Drosophila melanogaster: one gene and its partners. The protein of the gene in region 3 interacts with the protein of the main gene of each other region in a pairwise test. Each region holds a gene or a part of one and is shown on either strand. Other genes may lie near its edges. The genes, in order: sordd2, Drsl5, CG6126 and Tsp42A.

What was found.
Region 1: the proteins of CG6126 (region 3) and sordd2 interact in a two-hybrid assay, tested with the Drosophila melanogaster proteins (one large-scale study listed by BioGRID).
Region 2: the proteins of CG6126 (region 3) and Drsl5 interact in a two-hybrid assay, tested with the Drosophila melanogaster proteins (one large-scale study listed by BioGRID).
Region 4: the proteins of CG6126 (region 3) and Tsp42A interact in a two-hybrid assay, tested with the Drosophila melanogaster proteins (one large-scale study listed by BioGRID).

What each region holds. Positions count from the first base shown.
Region 1 is NC_004354.4:15,796,385-15,801,301, forward strand, and holds sordd2 (suppression of retinal degeneration disease 1 upon overexpression 2), read right to left. Parts: upstream 2,779-4,917; 5' UTR 2,587-2,778; intron 1,888-2,586; 5' UTR 1,849-1,887; coding exon 1,283-1,848; intron 1,220-1,282; coding exon 1,053-1,219; intron 988-1,052; coding exon 869-987; 3' UTR 524-868; downstream 1-523. Other genes in the region: CG15602 (uncharacterized protein), read left to right, coding at 3,290-3,337, 3,409-3,653, 3,712-4,189, 4,255-4,512; PGRP-LE (peptidoglycan recognition protein LE), read right to left, coding at 4,867-4,917.
Region 2 is NT_037436.4:3,314,697-3,317,883, forward strand, and holds Drsl5 (Drosomycin-like 5), read left to right. Parts: upstream 1-2,084; 5' UTR 2,085-2,138; coding exon 2,139-2,348; 3' UTR 2,349-2,448; downstream 2,449-3,187. Other genes in the region: Drsl3 (Drosomycin-like 3), read left to right, coding at 338-553; Drsl4 (Drosomycin-like 4), read left to right, coding at 941-1,156.
Region 3 is NT_033777.3:16,197,402-16,205,166, forward strand, and holds CG6126 (uncharacterized protein), read right to left. Parts: upstream 5,683-7,765; 5' UTR 5,433-5,682; coding exon 5,390-5,432; intron 2,494-5,389; coding exon 1,859-2,493; intron 1,797-1,858; coding exon 807-1,796; 3' UTR 599-806; downstream 1-598. Other genes in the region: CG31287 (uncharacterized protein), read left to right, coding at 6,034-6,192, 6,247-6,549, 6,607-6,813; mtSSB (mitochondrial single stranded DNA-binding protein), read right to left, coding at 6,913-7,135, 7,493-7,601, 7,660-7,747.
Region 4 is NT_033778.4:5,793,546-5,797,533, forward strand, and holds Tsp42A (tetraspanin 42A), read left to right. Parts: upstream 1-1,867; 5' UTR 1,868-1,927; coding exon 1,928-2,641; 3' UTR 2,642-2,781; exon of another isoform or gene 2,782-2,803; intron 2,804-2,839; 3' UTR 2,840-2,903; intron 2,904-2,964; 3' UTR 2,965-3,165; downstream 3,166-3,988. Other genes in the region: Or42b (odorant receptor 42b), read right to left, coding at 3,650-3,724, 3,789-3,988.

The DNA of each region.
Region 1 (4,917 bases), on a different chromosome or scaffold from region 3:
GCTGATTTGTACAACGCTAATGCATCTATAAACGTTTAAGTCGTAATCGATAGCTCACCCACTGTGCAGAAATCACGTGACCATCCCTAATTAGAACTGGCTTCTTTCAAAACAAAGCAAACGAAATTTAAAACTTTTTCAATTTATATGTTCCATTGGTGACTCTGGTTGCAGTGAGCTTCTTGGCACGGAGCAGAATCCTTTATCGGCAATTCCCAGGAGGTGGAGCGCATCACCACAGCCAATTATGGAGCCAGTGATGAGGCGTCCCCCTCCATTGCCAACAAACTGGCCCACTTAAAGGAGGCGATCTTCTAGAGCGATCGGTAGAAGGTACATATATCATACATCTCATACTCAAGATAAGCCGATATCTTCATGTACATACATGCATCCATATCCTCAGCATCTTCGAAATTCACGTTATCCCTGATCCCTAAAAAGAATGTTGTGCAGTTTAAGTTAAGCAAAAACTTAATGATTTTTTTCACCCATCGATAATAATCTACACGGAAAATAAATTAAAATAAATGTTTTTAATGTTTTATAGAATTTAAAATATAAATTTATACAATTTTTGAAATCTACATTTGAATTAAATCATTACGATCCAATTATTTCGAAATTTCAGTTTTTTATGCTGAAGTCGTAGGGTATTGCAGACTTTTTGAAATAATTTGGGACCCAATCCACTTCTGTTTTGCGAATCCTCAAATTACAATTATAACCGAATGCTAACAATTTATGTTAATTAATCACACCAACGACTATAGCCCAACGAGTTTAACAATATTGTTGATTTAACTGGAGGATACTGCTATTTGATTACTTCGCACGCTTTCCATTGACATTTGAATATAGGTTCTTCTTATCGGGATGATCCGTGCACTATTGGAACGAGCAGCCCATATATCACAAAAACGACAAAATGCCAGAACAGTTTTGACAGGGCCCAGGGTTCATCTTCGTGTAGCCTTCTAATATCAGCTAAATACATGGGCAAATGTTATTTAATGTCAATCTCAGAACTATTGAGATGGCATGTAACCTACCAGGTGGACGTGGTTCGAAAAAGTTGAGCCTAGATGTTATGAACCCGAAAGGAAAAGCTCCAATACCGAAAGACATGTGAAATCCGTCGCCGAATCCGAATCCAGGGAACCCGGGAACAGGATCTGGTTCTGTACGTTGTCCAGCGGGGCGTGGTGGAACTTTGTTACTGCAAAACACATATAAGTTGGGTTATTGAAAAATACTCATGTTGAAAGCGGTTCAAACCTACCGTGGATCTTCCTGGTGTGTACTATTTCTTCCGTACAGCGGTATGACCTTATCCTTATCAACGGCAGCCTTACAAACGGGACAGAGTTTGCGATTGGGACGCGTCAGGAGCCACTGATGCAGGCACGGCCAGCAGAACAGATGGCCGCACATGCTGACCACAGCATCCTTGGCGGTGTCCAGGCATATGTTGCACTCGTAGAGTGAGTCGTCTGCGGTATGTTCCTTCTCCTTGTCCTTTTCGTTGGCTTTTGTGTCCGTATCGGTGCCGCCGAATGGATAGCCACCCTTCAGATCGGCCTTATTGCCACCAGATAGATAGTCTCCAGTAAAGGAATACGAAGTGTTGGACTTCTTCAGTTCCGATGCCGTCGAATTGGTTGGAATCGAGGTACCCAGCGGGCGCAATTGACTTGTAGATGACTCCTCAGCCAAGGGTTCTGTGATATCCCGAGTCCAGGCTATCTTGTCGTAGCTCACGTTGTTGGACAAAGTCGATGAGGACGACGATGCCCCGGTTGATGTGCTGGGAAGCTCCGCTGTGGATACACTTTTCGGTTCCTCCATGGTTTGCCCAAGATGCGGGTAAAGTTTTAGTCGTTCAAGCTGCAACGTAACGTTGGATGATTTAGAAACCCAAATTTGCTAAGTAAGTCTGTGTTCACCCTATTGACAAGTGCCTAGATTGCTTAGATGATTTTCCTAGGCCATTTCTGGTGTACAACTAAGGTCCGCACTTTCTTGAATATGACTTAATTTAATTAAATACTTCAAGCGCAGTTTGAAGGGGGTTTCCCCCGAGTTCCGCAGCATTCAGCATTTGTCCGACCCCATGGGGTGGTGTTTATGGCTACGAAAACCGCCCAAAGGGCGTATTTACCACCAAGTCTTCAAGGATAATGCACCGAACATTCCCATTGGCTGCACCCACATAAATTAAACAAAAAAGTCAAATTTTGTTTGAATTGCGTTGGCAAACAAGACGGTATACCTGCATATGTACCTGGACTTATGTGCGTACTTATGTACACATCTACACACTCAAACACTCGCGTGTATATAGGGCTAGAAGGTTTCCATCTACCTGTTACATATGTACATTGGAACCGATTATATGCTTATTTATACAGTACGTATAGATGTCACATAATGTTTTCATGGAGCACTTCCTATTGGAGTCAAGGGGAATTATATGCTCATATACATCGAGTTCCAGGGATTGCGTTTAAACGCATTATAACTTAATTAAACTATATATAACTTCCTGTGGCACAGCAAATAGTATAACTTCTCAAAATTACTTACATTGTAAGTGTATTGTTTGCAAAACCTGACTTGTTTGCCCTCATTTTATTGTTTGTTTTCGCTCACTGTTTGCTTCTACTTGCCGTGCTAAGTATTGTTAAACCGAATCAGAGAATGTTGCTAAATTGATTGTGTGGACAAGTCAATCAATTGACGTCTTAGCACCTCAAAACAATTGCACTGACGATACCTGACCGAGGCCGATAGACCTTTACCCTATCGGTAAATAGCTGCCTGTATAACAGCCCGTCTCCACCGGACCAAAGTCCACGCTCGCGTTAGATAACTATCGAGTTAGGTGAAAAATCTCGGATCTCAATGAATCATTTGAAAAGTGATCAGTGATCAGTCCTCGATTGATTTGTAAACAAAATAAACTACTAAATACATTTACAAGACTAAATACTATTCATTAACAGCTGTTGTGTGCCATGGACAATCGATACCAGGACTCACTCGACTATCTCTAGTTCCTAACGATCTGGTCACAACAAAGCTCAAGAATTTAATAATATTGATATTAGACTAAACCAAAACAAGGAACAGCTGATTTTTAGAACGCTAATGCGTTTAAGTCGTAATCGATAGCTCACCCACTGTACACTGTACACCATCCCTAATTAGAACTGGCTTCTTTCAAAACAAAGCAAACGAAATTTGAAACTTTTTCAATTTATATGTTCCATTGGTGACTCTGGTTGCAATGAGCTGCTTTGGCTGCGGTCGCAAATATGGCCTATTCTGCAAGGAGGCAAGTGCCATCAAACCAAAGCAAACCAACATATATCACCTACTTACATTGTGTTAAATCCGAAATTTTAGTATGGATGCCCCAACTGCGGCTACTCATTCTGCTCCAAGTGCTTGAAGAGACCAATGCCCGTGCCCCGTCATGCAGGAAAGGTGCACAATGTGTGCCTCATATGCTACGACAAACTATCCAAACTCCAGGCGAGCGCCGATGCCGAGAAAGTTATAGACTGTGATGCTTTGCCGGGGATCTTAGTCACCAAAATGAACCTGGCTCCTCCATCCAAAAGTTCAGATGGCGCCGATGCCCTATTCAAGTAAGTAAAATACCACATTAAAACACCGATTCTGAAACTATAATTCGATTAATTGCAGCGACAGCCTGCCTGTGGAGGAGCTGCCACAGGCATTGGTTCCCAGTTCCAGTTCGTCACCACATTCCAAAGATCACAAGGATCATATTGATGAGAACCTGGACAGTGAGTTGACCAAACGAATGCAGGACTATAAACGAGTTGATGCCACCGATGATGAGATCCGCACCCGTCTGGCCAATCTCACTGGGATGCCGCATACGAAAAGCTACGATAAGAAAGATCTGCTACTGTCCACCGACCAAAGAAACGATCAGGAGAAAATGAGGGACTTGCTCGCACAATTCGTTGACGAAGCCCAACTGGATCAAAATATCAGCAGGCAGAGGGATGACTCAATTTCCGACATTGAGAGACGTCTGCGAGCTCTGCGCGATACACCCGTCGATTCCGATGCATGCCCATCGAGATCCCAGATGGAAAGTATCGCGGACAACGAAGAGGATGACGAGACACTTCTACAGAACATATTGAAAAAGGTTCGCATTTATATAGTAGCATTATTTTTTTTAAGCCAAATCATCACTTTCGTATTCCCATTCAGTATGTAGCAGAATCGCGCTTACCAGAACCTTCCGAGAGTGAAATTAGTCCAATTAACACTGAGTCGCCCGGCAACACCGAAGAATTGCCCTGGTGCAATATTTGTAACGAAGACGCCGACTTCCGATGCCACGGATGTGGTGGGGAACTCTTTTGCACTCTATGCTATAAGGAGTGCCACGATGATGACGAGGAGTACCGTGCTCACGTTAAGGAAAAGTATTCGGCTCCGCCAAAGCTTAAAGAAAATCACTTCTAATTGTTAATTGTTTACTTGACTGTACGCAAATTTTTGTTTAATTATAGATTGTTTTCAGCAAATGCATTACTATTGTCTGTATTTATGTGGTGCTAGCTCGCTCATATTTGTGCAGTATAATTGTTGCTTCTCTTTCAGTTGTGAATTAAAACAGGTAGGCGATGTTGGTTCCGAAACATCTTGTGGTTTTTCCACCTTTCAGCGCTGCAAAAACTATACCAAAATATAAAGTAACTTAACGAAACTGCCAGTAGCTGGAAAATTTATAAACAGGTGATTTAATGTTCAACATTATAAACGTAACTCGGGTGCATTTAAGTCTAAGTATGTGAAATGGTGCTCTTCTTTTGTCCCTCATTGTTCCTCCTCCTCGATATTGTAAAAGTGGGGCCATGTCTGTATCTC
Region 2 (3,187 bases), on a different chromosome or scaffold from region 3:
TTAATTTCCTGTATGGCAATGTGTTAGGAGAAGTGAATGTTTACATACATCATTAAATCGAAAAGATAGCAATTCTAGGTAAATAACTTATTATGATAACGATGCATTTTTAAATCAATGAAGTTGACACATGGCACACATAAATCAAGTGTTTCTGGAAAACTAGGATTATATCGGTTATTGTTAGCTTGAATTTCCGAGAAGCTTATCGATTGCTACGATCAAATAAAAAATCTTAAAATCTGTATCTCTATATAAGCGTCCCCACGAGTGGTCGATGCCAAAAGTCTTTAAGAACTCAAGTAAAATTCCCGACTCGTTGAAAACATCAGTTGTCATGGTGCAGATGATATTCCTGTTTGCTATCCTTGCTGTAATGACCATTGTCCTAATGGAGGCCAACACTGTTTTGGCACGTGATTGCCTATCTGGAACTTTCGGAGGTCCTTGCTGGGCCTGGAGTGGAGAAAAGTGCCGCCGTCTCTGCATTGAGGAGGGACATGTCAGTGGACACTGCAGTGGCGCAATGAAGTGCTGGTGCGAAGGATGCTAGATCCACTGCAGTTCAAAAGTGCATGCTGTTTTTTTGTTTATTCTGAGCCAATAATAAATATACTGTACACCGCACAGTAAAAGGCACGTAAGCATTGCCTTTCAGGAGTTATCTCTTGATTTGATTTAATATGTATGTGGTAAGTATATTAAACAAAAAGGTGCATCAACATCAAGAAGGTATAGCAATTCTATCATCCCAAAATAGCGATGCGCGTTTTGTCGCGTAAAAGGCCCAAAAGTATGCCTTTCGAAAGTTATATTGCAGTTATTTGCATTTTCACCTTTATGCTAATCGGTTAATATACAAATTCTGTACCTATATAAGAGTGCAGTCGGACTCAAGAAACTCAAAAGTAAAGATTTTAACCAGAAGAACATTCTAATAATGGCTCAAATTAAAGGATTGTTTGCTCTCCTCGCTGTGGTGACCATTGTCCTAATGGTGGCCAACTCGGCTTCGGCCGTGGATTGCCCATCTGGAAGATTCAGTGGTCCTTGCTGGGCCTGGGATGGAGAGCAGTGCCGTCGCCTCTGCAGGGAGGAAGGACGTGTCAGTGGACACTGCAGTGCCAGTCTGAAGTGCTGGTGCGAACAATGCTGAGGATCCTCATCGTCCAATATGTTTGACACATATGTGTGTCATATGTTTTTTATTGTTTTGAAAAGAAAAATAAAGAATATACTTCACAGCAAATAATACAGTTTTATTTCTACTTAAAGAACGAATCCTTTTAAAATCATAAATTTACTTCGAAAATGAGATTTATAATGGAATGGAAGAAATAATTAAATGATAAATAATCAGAGTTAACTTCAATAGAAAGCTAAAATTCATTTAGAAAGAAGTGGAATATATAATTCAACTCATAATAAGCATTTAAGAAAAAAAAAGCATAGACTATTTCAGTCTTAACAAGAGTTGGAAAGGCCATTTTCATTTATGAACACAAATCTTCATTTACCAGCACCCATATCACTTTATGGGAAATAAAGATAATCTTGTCATGTTAATATTTCCAACAAATTATCAACCGTGTTACATCGAAAAGTGCAAGTTTGGTGTTTGAATCCGGTTCTGGGTTTTCCTAACAAACTCGACAGTTTTACAATTTATGAATAAATTTAATTAATGAAACTGGTTTAATTAGTTTCCTAGAAGTCTCGTGATAAATGGCACATTGCATAAAATCAATGTCGGCAGATTATTAATAAGCCATTTTTAATTTTCCATTAGAAAAACTACGCATTCTTACTCAACTGCTAACTGAGAAGATGGCAGTGAAACTTTTTAAAAAGAAAACGAAATTTCATGCGACTTTTCTTAGACACTTACCGTAATGATCATTATCTCGAAAGAGAATACTTTTTGAAGTCAGTTTTCGTTGTCTTATCAGCCCTAAAGTATGCCCTTCCATGAAATACAATTCAATAATTATCTCCAATTATCTGCCAATCAATTCCAGAAATACGACGAAGCTGGCAGAGAGATCCCGATCCCTATATAAAGCGGTTGCTGGGGGTTTGGACTCATAAATCAAGTTCGAATTGTTCCGACAGCAGCACTCTGATTCAAAACCGACAACATGCAGATCAAGTTCCTGTACCTCTTCCTGGCTGTGATGACCATCTTCATCCTGGGCGCCAAGGAAGCCGATGCCGACTGTCTCTCTGGAAGATACGGAGGACCCTGCGCCGTCTGGGACAACGAGACCTGTCGTCGGGTGTGCAAGGAGGAAGGACGATCCAGTGGCCACTGCAGTCCCAGTCTGAAGTGCTGGTGCGAGGGATGCTAGGCCATCCTTCAAGGCGCGTTGCTCTAAATTGCCGGAAAACTACTAAATGTTATAGTTTGTTGATAACTATAAATAAATATTAAATATATTATTGCAACGCAAATGATTATTTCGTACTGGTTCAACTGTGATACTAACTATGTGATACTAAGGTATTTAAATGTACGTACAAAGGACGGATAAGGATTGTTCCTTAAAAATGTTAATATTAACTGATGACGTACTCGAAAAGGTTTTCTTCTATTCTTATTCATTACAAAATATATGAATAAGTACATATAAATATATTCTCAATTAAAACTAGCTAACACCTTAATTCTCTGACTTAGTCTGTGAAGTATTGAAAATTTAACGATATTTTAAAATAATTTGTTTTTATTCAGATTGTAACATGCTTCAAATACTGCTTAAGTTATTCTATTTATAGGATGAATAATTGCAGAAAATAGAGCGCTGCGTACAGCGATACTATATGATGTAATCTGGATTATTTATCTCTCAAGAATGCTTACTGAAACTGTGGAAGTAGCTTGCAGGACAGCATGCATTACATAGATAGGTAAAACGCAGAATACTAAAATAATTAAATCTCTGGTTAGACTAGGAACTTCTGGGAAACCCAAGGGCGTGCACTTAATACAGATGTCACTCATCCATATTCCATAGTCTATTATTAAAGCAATTGCTTCAATTTATTTGCGTTAGATAGGGTCAAATATATTCAATGTATGCTCATGCGAATGTTTAATTGTTATCTACGAAACGGGTTTTAGTCGCTGACGATAAATAATCTTTAACTAAATTTATTTTTAGTCTGAGTAAAACACAACCAAGCCAAA
Region 3 (7,765 bases):
AATGTAATTCTAAGCCAGCGAAATCGTGTAACGATATCGCATCAGATATCGGCATACACATACATACGTTTATAAATCTATATGCCTACGTGTAGTTAAAATTTAAATTGAAAATATATTCAAATTCGAAATGAATGTTCTCAAATGTACCAAACAAAACAAAATGAAGAATTACCAAACAAGAAACAAAAACCGAAAAACCAAAACTCTCTCTTTAAACAAACTTTAATTGGCGGGTTAAACATCATGTGGAGCAAAGGGAAGCGATGGGTTATGGATTTGACATTGGAAATCCCTGTCGGCAATTGGCAATTCGATAGTGCAATTGAGTGGAAATTACTGAAACTTTGCAAGGCCAGACGAACCCGAATTGGCTGTGTCGGTCGGAGAATAAACTTTAATTGGAAATAGTTGGGAAATAATTTTTTGGTGTGTACTGGTTTTACCGTAGAGAAAATTGAAATTCAAGCTATGAATCTGCGCCTAAATTGATAGAGCCTAAAAGTAGACAACACTAATCAGTAAAAATGCTCGTCAAGCATTTAAATTTCCTTTAAACTAAATTTTACCACCGAAAAAATTAAAAGAAAAAATCCGTACAAACAACAAAGGGACACTCAGAAATGAGTGAATCCACAAATTAGGATTCCCCATATTCTGCACATCGTTTTATTCGCTTGGAATGAATAGAAACTATTAAATCTTACTACTAGGCAGAAGAGTAGAATTCTTAACAAGAAAACACAGGGTAACAAGGAATTTAAGCTGGATTTTGGACTTGGGAAACAATCGTCTTTGGCTAGGTTCTACTTGCTCTCGATGTTCTTGAGCGGCACCATTTGCTCCGGATCGTCGGGATATACGCTATTCTGGCGCTTTTTGCGACCAGCACACTGACTGAACCAAGTATCTCCCTTTCCGAAGTTCTCTCCATCCTCAATGGACTCGGGCATGGGCTGGTTCATTGTCTCCGGCAGGAACATAACCCAGAAGCCCGAGATCAGGGCCACCACGCCGAACAGCACGGCCGGTATCTTCGGATCAAATGAGTCCAGCAATGTAATGAGCGGAGTAAGGGCTCCCGACAAACGGGCACACATCGATCCCAATCCCATGGCCGAGTTCCGCACCACGGTGGGAAACAGTTCGGCTGAGTAATTGTAGATTACGGCAAAGGAACCGGCGATGAGGAGCTTTCCTGCCATTACCACCGCCGTGGAGGTGGTGCTGCCCTGGGCAATGTAGGCGGCCACAATGCAGCATAGACCGCCACCCAACATCAGGGTGGAGGTGATCGATCGACGACCCAGGCGATCTAGGACGAACACAATGGTTATGTAGCTGGGGAACTCCACGAGGCCCATGATGAACAGGATCAGGTAGGGATTTCCATACAGCTTGCCGGCACTGAGCGATAGTCCGTAATAAACCAGAGAATTGGCGAACCAGCAGAGGCACACGTTCAAAGTCTTCATCCTCAAGTTGGGCGTGCGGAAGAGGTCGCTCAATCCGGCGCTGGATTTTTCTTCGGCCGCCGCCTGCTGTTTGGCTTTCTGCACATAGTACTCCTTGTCCACCGGGATGCCCGATCCGTTGATTCTCAGGCCCTTGGCCACAATATCCACCGCCTCGGCGGCACGTCCCTGCATCCACAGCCAGCGCGGAGATTCATCGAGCCACCACCAGTGGCCCAGGAACAGACAGCCATGCAGTCCGTAGATCACTTGGAGCCACTGGCGGTCAGGGATGAGTGCTCCCCATCCGGCCACCAACATGATGCCACCAGCGAAAACAGCCTAAAAGTATTGCATGGTATAGCCAGTTTAAAAAATGCAAAATCTATTGAAGTCTTCCTCACCTGGAAGGTAATGCCGCACACAGTACGCTTGGTAGGTCCCACCAGTTCCATGGTCAGCACGAACCCACAGATGTAGGCACCCGCTGATCCCACAATGCCCAGCAGGTAGCGAGCCACCATGAATGAGAAGTACTCGGGAATGAAGGCCACACCCACACCGATGATCAATTGGAACAGGGCCGACCAGCAGAACACGGTTTTCCGACCCACTTTGTCGGCGAGTCCGCCAAGGGTGACTGCGCCTGTGAACACGCCCAGCATGAACACGGTCTGCACAATGGCTCCCATCCAGCGGCGATCGCACACAAAGTTCCAGTCGATGGTGCGCGAAGTCTTGTAGTACGTCGTGTCGTATACGTAACGTTCGCAATTGATGGTGGTATTGGTGCCAGGACTACTGGGATCGAACATGAGGCAGGACTCTAGCTCGCCATTGGGCTTCAGCGGAATGGCGGCCAGGATAGCGCTCGAGTTCCATGGTGTCACCGACAAGCTGCTGTTATCCACGCCCTCGATGAAGCAGCGATGCTCAGGCACGGCGGCCACCGTGACCAGCGATAGCATGTGCATGCCAGCGGTCAGGCCGGAGAGCACCTGCAGGAAGAACTGCAGGAACTGGTACTTTCCAAACTCCCCTGCAATTGGATAGAAAAAAATAGAAAGACATTTCACAATCATTAATGTCTTGGGAAAGGTTATGAGCGCACAACAAATGTGAGCTTTCAGCAACATGATAGATAGTGATAATCTGTAGCACCCATGAATCACCCAGTTTACGATTAAATATAATAAAAAGAAAGTAAGTTGAGCTGAAAACGGAAGTTGTTCTAGCTCAAATTATTTAAAACGGTTTTTTATTTCAGTATTTGAATTTGAACATCACGTAGCTGCGATAAAAACACAACCCAAAGAAACAGCCGACTTTTATGTAGATGGGAACTTTTAATGGGTATCGCTGGAATTGTCGTCACTCCAAAGGCTTTGCAATTAAATCAAGTGGAATTTATTCAATTCGATTTCAATTGAAGCGCATTCGCCTAGCCCGTCAAATATTTGCCCACAGTTTGGTTTGGTTTGGTTTTGGTTTCGAACGCCATGAAAAGAGACTCGGATGTCTTGGGAGAATGCACTGAATCGATTATGACTTGGCTGGTCAGTCAGTCCATGGCGATCGCGTTGATGGGAGGCCAGGGGCTGTGTAAATTTCTAACGACATGGACAGTATGTAGCCTAGATACGAGAATTTGACACTTGATCACGGTCCAATGTTCAATCAGCCGTTTCAATTGATTTGTGGGTTACGTTTATTGATCGTTTAAACGAAACTCTTGCCATCAAATGAAAAGTTACGTTCACCCCGGTTACGTTGCAATCGACAAATCATGAGTAAAACGTCTGAGAATTTTCATTTTTCATTATTAAAACGATTGCGTGAAGTGTAAAATTATGTCATCGGGTTGACTTAATTAATCTCAATTATAAAATTTGACTCTACGCCTAATGAAATTCAATTACGCCCCCAATAGACATAATCAGCGTATAATTGAGCACAATCTAGGAAATCGATTGGCCAAATTTGTGATAACTAAACTCGTAATAGTAAATACTAATGTGGAACTCATAGCGGATTATCAGAGGCCACCAAATGCTAGATCATATATCAGTGATATTGTTGCTTCAGATTTATTGCATCCGTCCAATATAACTAGCCGTATAATTGTTGCCAAGTGGCCCTTGAATACGACATTTGTTTTTGGCCCTGTCAATGTTTGTTGTTCTCTTAATCGTAAGCCATCTATTATGATGTACAAAACCAACAGTTTGCACATTAAAATGAATATGGCGCAGGTTTGGACCGTTGTTTATTCTGGGCAAACTTTTTGAGCGATAAGTGAGATGGATAAGAACACGGAATATTAAAAAATAATGCAGTCATATTTCTAACAATATTGCACATGTATATTAATCTACTGTTATTCTACTATCAACTGTTGCTTTATTTCAGAGTTGATTTCTTCAAAGCTTTTAAAATTTCCTTTGTGCTTAAGTATCATGATTCGAATAATTGAGGTAGATCATGGTTTTACACCTCCACTTTAAGGCTTCCTTCGGTTTTTGTTCATCCGTACTTCAACATTTTCACTTCCCGCGTTTACTAACAACTGAAGGTCGATTTAGTTCTGTTCTGTGCTCTCCACATAGCACGTGTGGAAGTGCTCTCAAAGTCATTTTAAGTTGCTGGTTTTATGGTAACCTTCTTACGTACAAATAACAACCAACTCAGCAATGCAACACGCCTCCAAATTCGAAGTAATTAGAGTTGCTGCTCGCCAATAGGCCTTCAACAAAGTAAACAGAAATAAAAGAGCGATATGTGAATTTTGATGGCTGAGGGAGGTATTGCCATATAGTTGAATGTGAGCAAACCAGTTTAAGGTTTTTTGCATTTCACAGATACAAATGTATGCGAATATATTACGAATAAAAAAGTCGCTAATGCGATTATTACTCCCTCTCTCCTGTCACTTTCTTATAGGCTGCGGTTTTGCGAATGCTTAATACAAAACCAGTTTCGGATTGTAAAAAACTGTTCTATTTTAATTAACGACAATTTCAGCACAATCGTTGACACAAATTTTATATTCCAACTCATATTTTATGTGACTCATAAATTTCTAATTTGTAGCCGTGACAAATAAAACTGTTTATCCATCGATCTTCCACTGTATTCCCACAATTAATCTTAACTATTTTGCATACTGCATATAAACACGCTTAATTTTGTAGCTTCCACAAGCTAGCTGCAATGTTTGAACCGCACAATTAGAGTATATAATAAATTATAAGCAAATACCCAGATATCCGTAGATCCCAAGATCTTTATGACGAGCCTACTTCACAGTCTTGTGACAGATACCGCCCCTTTTGCACCCGTTTTATTTTTGTTTGCCTGTTAGCCGCCACACTCGTTTTAGCGTCACTGTGCTAAAGCCAAGTAGGCTCAACAAGTGTCAGACAGCCTCCAGCTCAGAACTTGGCCCACACGAACATGTGTCGACTATATGTGTACATAAATACATACTTGGTATGGTATATAGTCAAAAGGGGAGCAACAGGTCGGAGTCTCTATCAAGCTGTCATAAATGTCTGTCACTTGGTGGCCTCGACGATTTATTAAATTAAGAATAGTGCAAAATGAAAATGAAAATAGTTGCAATTAAAAAAGTATTATAGTCGGCTTCTTTTGAGCACTTGACGTGACGGACAGCCAGCCGGATAGATTAGGCGGAGATTAAAAGCATAATACGGAAAAATTAATTATAGATTTTAAAAGCAGAACAGAAGGTTGGGCGGTAAACCTCATTGGTCGTCGTGAAACAAAATATTATCCATAGTAGCTTGCAACGCTGATAAGACCTCTCAAAATGATAAGCATAACGCCAGGCTCTTATCAGCACGGGATGGAGACGCCTGGCAACGTAACAGCTGACCTTTCAAAAGTCTTCGCTCCCAAAAGCCCATTCCACTCACCAAGTTTCCCCATCAGGTCCTCCAGTACATAATCCACAGCCATGTTTGATTTTTTATTGATAATCAAAAATAAATGAAAGTAACTGTTTGCTATTGCTTCTTAACAAATCGTCATCTTCTGCAGAAGTGGAGCATGTATGAATGGCACACCAGTGCAGCACTGCTGATAGTTACGGGTCGCGAAGATGCAAAACGAATCCGGGATAAACAACGTGCTCGAGTGAAACAAAATCGCAAACGGAGCGCTCGATCAGCTATCAACTCTTCCGACCGCCGGCAGCATTTGAACTGGCAAAAACTAACTGCGAACTGTGTCGCTCAGCGAGAAAACTGAGTGGTAAATGGCGATAAGGTCGCTCCAAGCTCGCGAGCGAAGAGAGCTTGTGGAGGTCTCCAAAGTTGGGAACTAAAGAGCAAACTCTGCTCGAGGGTAAGAGCTTCAAAAACTGTAATCACCATTATAATCCTTGATGTATGAAAATAAATGATGCCTCTTGGCAAGGATCCCTTAGATTAGAATACGATCAGAAAACTCATACCTTAGCAAGCTTTGATTTGCCTAACACTCAGTGACAAACAAAACATAAGTCACAAAAACACATACAAAAAATACATAAAATTCATTTAAAGTTAATTTTAAAATTATGTGTGAGCCAAACTTATCAGATCCGTCGACATTCCTGTACTTGGATATGCTGGCGGATATTTTAATGCAGGACAGCCTTGAAATGGAATCAGATTTCAATACCAAGTTAAAATTTCTTAAGGAACAGGAACAAATTTGCCTAGACAATGCCAAAAATGTGAGACTCAATGGCCATAGGCAAACAGGATATAAATTTTTCATACTCCAACAGGCACTTCCCATCGATGATACCCTGAGATCAGTAAAGTGCACCATGCTTAGGGTAGAAATGGAGCTGCATGAAAACGAGATTAACCTTATACAGGCGGAGAAAGCAGTTACGAAATTGGAGCAGAGCTATCCGAGTCCTGAGAGTCTGGCAGGCCAAGTGTTTCCTTTGGCAAGTACCACATATCAGGATTTGCTGAGTATGCTGATGTCTTCGAAAAAAACAGTCGATCATTGCAATCAGATCAAAGAGGAGGTCGCGACGTATAATGAGCAGATATCCGCAAAAGTACCTTCCGTAAATTTGGTATGAAATGATGACTAAAAGTTGTATTTAGAGTTTCTAAAGTGAGTGTATCAACAGGTAACCAAGCTTATCGATTACCACAATAATACACTGGAGTCTATGGAAAAAAATATCGAAAAATTGAAGAGCCAGGTCACACAAGTTCAAAAGGAGTTCGAGCAGCTTTATAACGAACATGCACGCCAATTCAACGCACCGTTCCCATGCAAAAAGGTCAAGGAGTTAAAACCAAAAGACACATGTGGAGTACGACTACGCATGTAATCTGATAACACAATATATCCAACGAATATTATAAATGCTTACAATGCTGCAAGTTCAACTTTTCGCTTAAGATTAGGTTTGGTGATCTGGGCTTAAATTTTAGTTGTTGGCATCACGGAAAAACAACACATCGTCGGCTATGATACTGGTGCTAGTCTTCTGGTTGCCCTGCTGGTCGGTGATCTCTCCATAGGTGATCTTTCCCTGCACCATGGTTCGCTGTCCCTTCTTCAAGTATTCCAGCACGGTGTCACGCAGATTGGGCTTGAACACCACTACACGATGCCAGTCGGTGCGTTGGGCCCAGTCGCCGTTCTCATATCTGTGGGGAAATATTTAAGACTTCATGAATGCTTTTTAAATGAAATGGTAGCTATTTTCTTTATGAAATCCGGCATTTCATGGATCCTAAGAAGAAATTGATCACTGAAGTTAATTGAACAAGGAAATGTACACTATTGCCGTTATCATTAGGTAATTACATACAGCAAATGTTCTAATAACTCATTACATAAATCTGAATTAGCAGCTCAACGTGATATTTTCTTGGAGGTTAAGGCTAAGAACTAACTTAATTGTCAACATTTATGTAGCTTTTTTATTTCCCTCCTCTGAGATGTGATTTCAAGTTCAGTTGCAGACGCATGCTGGGCGGCAAAACGCACACAAATGCACTTACTTGTAGTTGGTGTGTGTAGCAACCGAAAAGGTGACCACCGGATGCTCCTGGGATCCACGCAGCTGCGGATCGGCGCCAACTCGTCCCAAAATGGTCACCGTGTTGACAGCTGTGGTTATTTATTCAAAATTAATTCAATTTCATAACTAAACCTAAGAAATACTCACTTTTTTCAACTTTGGCGGGAGCCGCTGCCGTTGTTGTTGTTGCCCCGCGTGCCGGCAAATTTCGCAGGCCGGTCAACAGAGGATTCAGCTAAAAAAAATAACATGT
Region 4 (3,988 bases), on a different chromosome or scaffold from region 3:
CAGATACCCGTTACTCAGCTAGTGTGATTGCAAACGCAAAAATGATATTGGGGAATAAAATTAGGAAAATTTTTCTCATTGGGCATTAAAGTGGGTGTGGCCAAAAAGTTGTTTGTCAAATCGGTTGAAATTAGTTAGATAAACAATAAAACGATAAAAGGGCAAAAAAAATTTTTTAAGTGTGAGGTTTGTTGACGTAAGGGGACAACACTTTTTTTTGGCAAATCGATAGAAATATGATAAGCTATCAAAGCATTTTTCATAAGTGTGGGCGTGGCAATTTTGGGTGATTTGTGGGCATTAGAGTGCGTGGCAACATGGGTCATCAAACTTGCGCTGCGTCTATGTCTCTAGAATCTGTACCTGCTTAACCTCAACCTTCTGGCATTTATGGTTCCAAAGATCTCGACCATATTATTGATCGGATCACTAGCCAAGTCAAACCATCCAAACTATCTGTCTGTCTCTATTTATGTTGTGATCTTGAAAACTATTGTATTAAAGCTGAAGACGTTTAGACTAAGCATACAGATTCTAATGACGCCAACGCTGTTCAAGTTTGTTTCCGAACGGTGTCATGCACAATTTTCCGTTGTTAACCGATTGCGATCAGTACTATGTATTGATTCGCTGCTAATGGAATGTACACGGTTTACGGTTCGTTTTAGTGTACCGGGGTACCAAGAGCTAAAAGTCCGGGAAAAGCCGAATGTCAAGAGTGAGACATTTGGAAACCCAAAGGCCGAGTCTGCTATTTTTTTAATGTATACATACCTGCACGTCCATATGCATACAATGGTTTTTATAGATGGAATTTGTAATTTAACAGTTTTAAGGGAGGAGCAAATAAAAGTATAGAAAGCCAAAGCGCAAGAAACGCGATTTATTGGTGGCATGGGATCACTTCAAAAAAACGTTTACAAATGCACGTGGACCAAGGAACTACTGCGATAAAGCTATAGAGTATTTCGATACCACACTATGTATCCGATGATACTACCATACCATATACACTCTGCAGCAGGAAATTCCCAATCGGTCAAATCATGAAGACTAATGAACTTATAACTTTAGCTTTTGAAAACATGTTGGATATTTTTTTTTAATTTTATTAGGCTTGTAAATTTCTATCGATGGGCCAAATATCTTTTTGTTACACCCACTCTAACTTCGTTTAATTGTTTGCCTTCCCAAATTTTATCGGTATACCAAAAACACTGGTCACGCCTCTCCCCCCACATTTTCCTAACGGTCCACTTTTTTAAACAATTTTTAAAATTTTTCTTTCTATCTATCGATATCCCAGAAAAATTATGAAATTTTGCGTTCGCATTCCCACTAGCTGAGTAACGGGTATCTGATAGTCGGGGAACTTGACTAAGCATTCTTTTTTGTTTTTCAAATACAGAGGTGGTCAAAAGTATTTACACAACGAACTATTTTTCAATTAGTTGACAATTCTTGTCAATTGAAAAAAAAGCACGTTGGGTAAATACTTTTGACCACCTCTGTATATAGTTAGGTAAGGATATTTCGCTTCGTCATGCTTTTTTTTTTGGTATATTCCTGTAAGCAGGGTTGACTTACGTCAAGTCACAAACATATTTTTCCCCTTTTTCGCGCCTCGTTCCGATTCTCGATAGGGCGCTATCTGCAACAGGTGCATAATTTCGTTTTCGAGAGAGGTAAACTCATTTGCACTTAAAGCCATGGCAACTAGTGTCATTGGTGGCAAAAGAGCTTGCAATCTAAATGTTTATATTACGAACTTGATTCGGGTCAAACTGGCTTAAATCAGCAGCGAAGCCAGGTGAAAATCGTCAGAACGACAGCAGGCAGAAGTCTCGTTACTTCAAAGTTAAACAACAGGAATTCGTGTTGCGCAACTGACGCGGCGCTTTCATCAACTGGAGCCTAACCCGGCGAAATGGCTAATCCGTTTCGCTGGTGTCGAGTGTCGCACGACTGCGTGTTCCAGATTAATGTGGTTCTGGTGGTGGTCGGAGTGATCTTTCTGCTTGACGTGCTCAGCCACCTTTATCTGAAGGCGGTCATGTTTCCAGGCCTTCGTCTATACCCGGTAGCCTTGCGCCCCTGGCTCTTTTGGGTGCGCGCTTTGACAATGGTTGCCTACATTTTGAACGCTGTTCTTGGGATTCACATGGCCCGACAACCCACCGTCTTGAAGTACGCTGGCTATATGCTCGTTGGAAGCGTGGTGTTGCTGTACACAATAAGCATCGGAGTGACTCGCTTCATGTACCGCAAAAGATTCGAGTTCTTTGCCGAGATGCTGGTGCTGCAGATGTGGGTGAGAGATAGACTTGGCAAGGTTGAAGTAGAGTTCGAGTGCTGCGGAAGGTCCAGCGTAGTTGACTACCAGACAGCATCGAGCAACCGCACCTGGCCCATTGGCTCTTGCTGCGGGAAGCAGAACTGCACCGGCTGCACTGCGAAGCTTAGCCAGTACCTGTGGACTATCGAGATGGATGTGGCAAGGGATAATATTATCGTATCCGTTCTCTTGTTTGTGGCGATGATCGTCATGGTTTTACACTTTAAAGATGTGCAATCGCTCGACGACACTAGTGATGTGGATGAGTCTTCAGAACTGGTAGACGACTCGGACGCCAAAGAATAAGCCCCATCCCATCTAGTCGTGCCGGTCCCAATTGCTTTTATATGGTCCCCCTCATTCAAGTACATAAATACTATTTTGAATGTGATATTACCCATGCCTTTAGGGCATATACAGTGTATATTTATTTTTTTGCGACAAAGGTAAATACACTGATTAGATCTGAAGCTATAAATTATGATCCTGAAATCTGAATTTCAGGTCGCCTGACCTAAACCGAAATGAAGGACTCAAGGTAGGTTAGGATGGTATTTTGCAACGCAATGTAAGTATATAGATAACATTTTGGCAGCAATATCGTAACAAAACCCAACATTTTTTCTAAGTTCTCATGAAAGGGCGTAAGAGTGGAGATAGGAAATCGATAGAAAGTGACAGTTCAAAATATTATAAAGAACAAGAGAGAATGCTGTAGTCGAGTTTCCCGACTATCAGTTACGTGTTACTCAGCTGGAAGTGGGAAGGAGAAATTTAAATTTTTTGGATTATCGGTAGAAATAGGGAAAAAATAGTAATAAATAATGAACAAAAATTCAAAATTGGTTTAAAAGTGTGGGCGTTTCAGAAATTTACAAGACTAATATAAATGTGAAAATATTTTTCAAAAGTGTGGGCTTTGCATTTTTGGGCGGTTTGATGATATGTATGCTAAATCTATTTTTATAGTGCCTGAGATCTCGACGTTCATACGGAGTACAATCCGGCGATCGACTCGGCGTTTGATCCTGATAAAGAATATATATACTTTATTCTACCTGTTACATACTTTTCAACGAATCTAGTATACCCTTTATCTCTACGAGTAATGAGTATAAAAATAAAATCGTTTCTCAAAAGTGTGTCCGCGGCAGTTTTGCGTGAAATCGCTAATAGAAGTCTTTATTTAGAGAATTCTAAAAAATTCCTATTTAAGCAAACATTTTGCAAATATATTGTTTGTGGGGGTCTCGTTTTAGGGAAGAACGGGGGTGCAGAGTATCCAATAAAGGACAAAAAAGGTATCCATCCACCTTAGTCCGTCTTAAATTTGTCAGCTATATTCATTTGCTTGGTAATGGTTATCACGGAGAAAGCAAACTTTGCCACCTAGTGATGGGGTAGAAAATGAGATACAATTCGAGGAGCATGTATTACAGTGGCGACCACTTACACTTATGTTGCTGCTCATGGATATCTGAAAGATACCGCCTGCAATGAAAACGATAGGCTGCTGCACGTTTTGGAGAAAATACAGTAGTGTTGTTTTGTAGCGACGACTGGCATCCACCCAGTTGGACTGGAAAATAGCATGGGTCAAGGACTCGCAGTCCTCCATGATGAGGTTGCATGTGTAGCAGAAGGGGAAGGTCT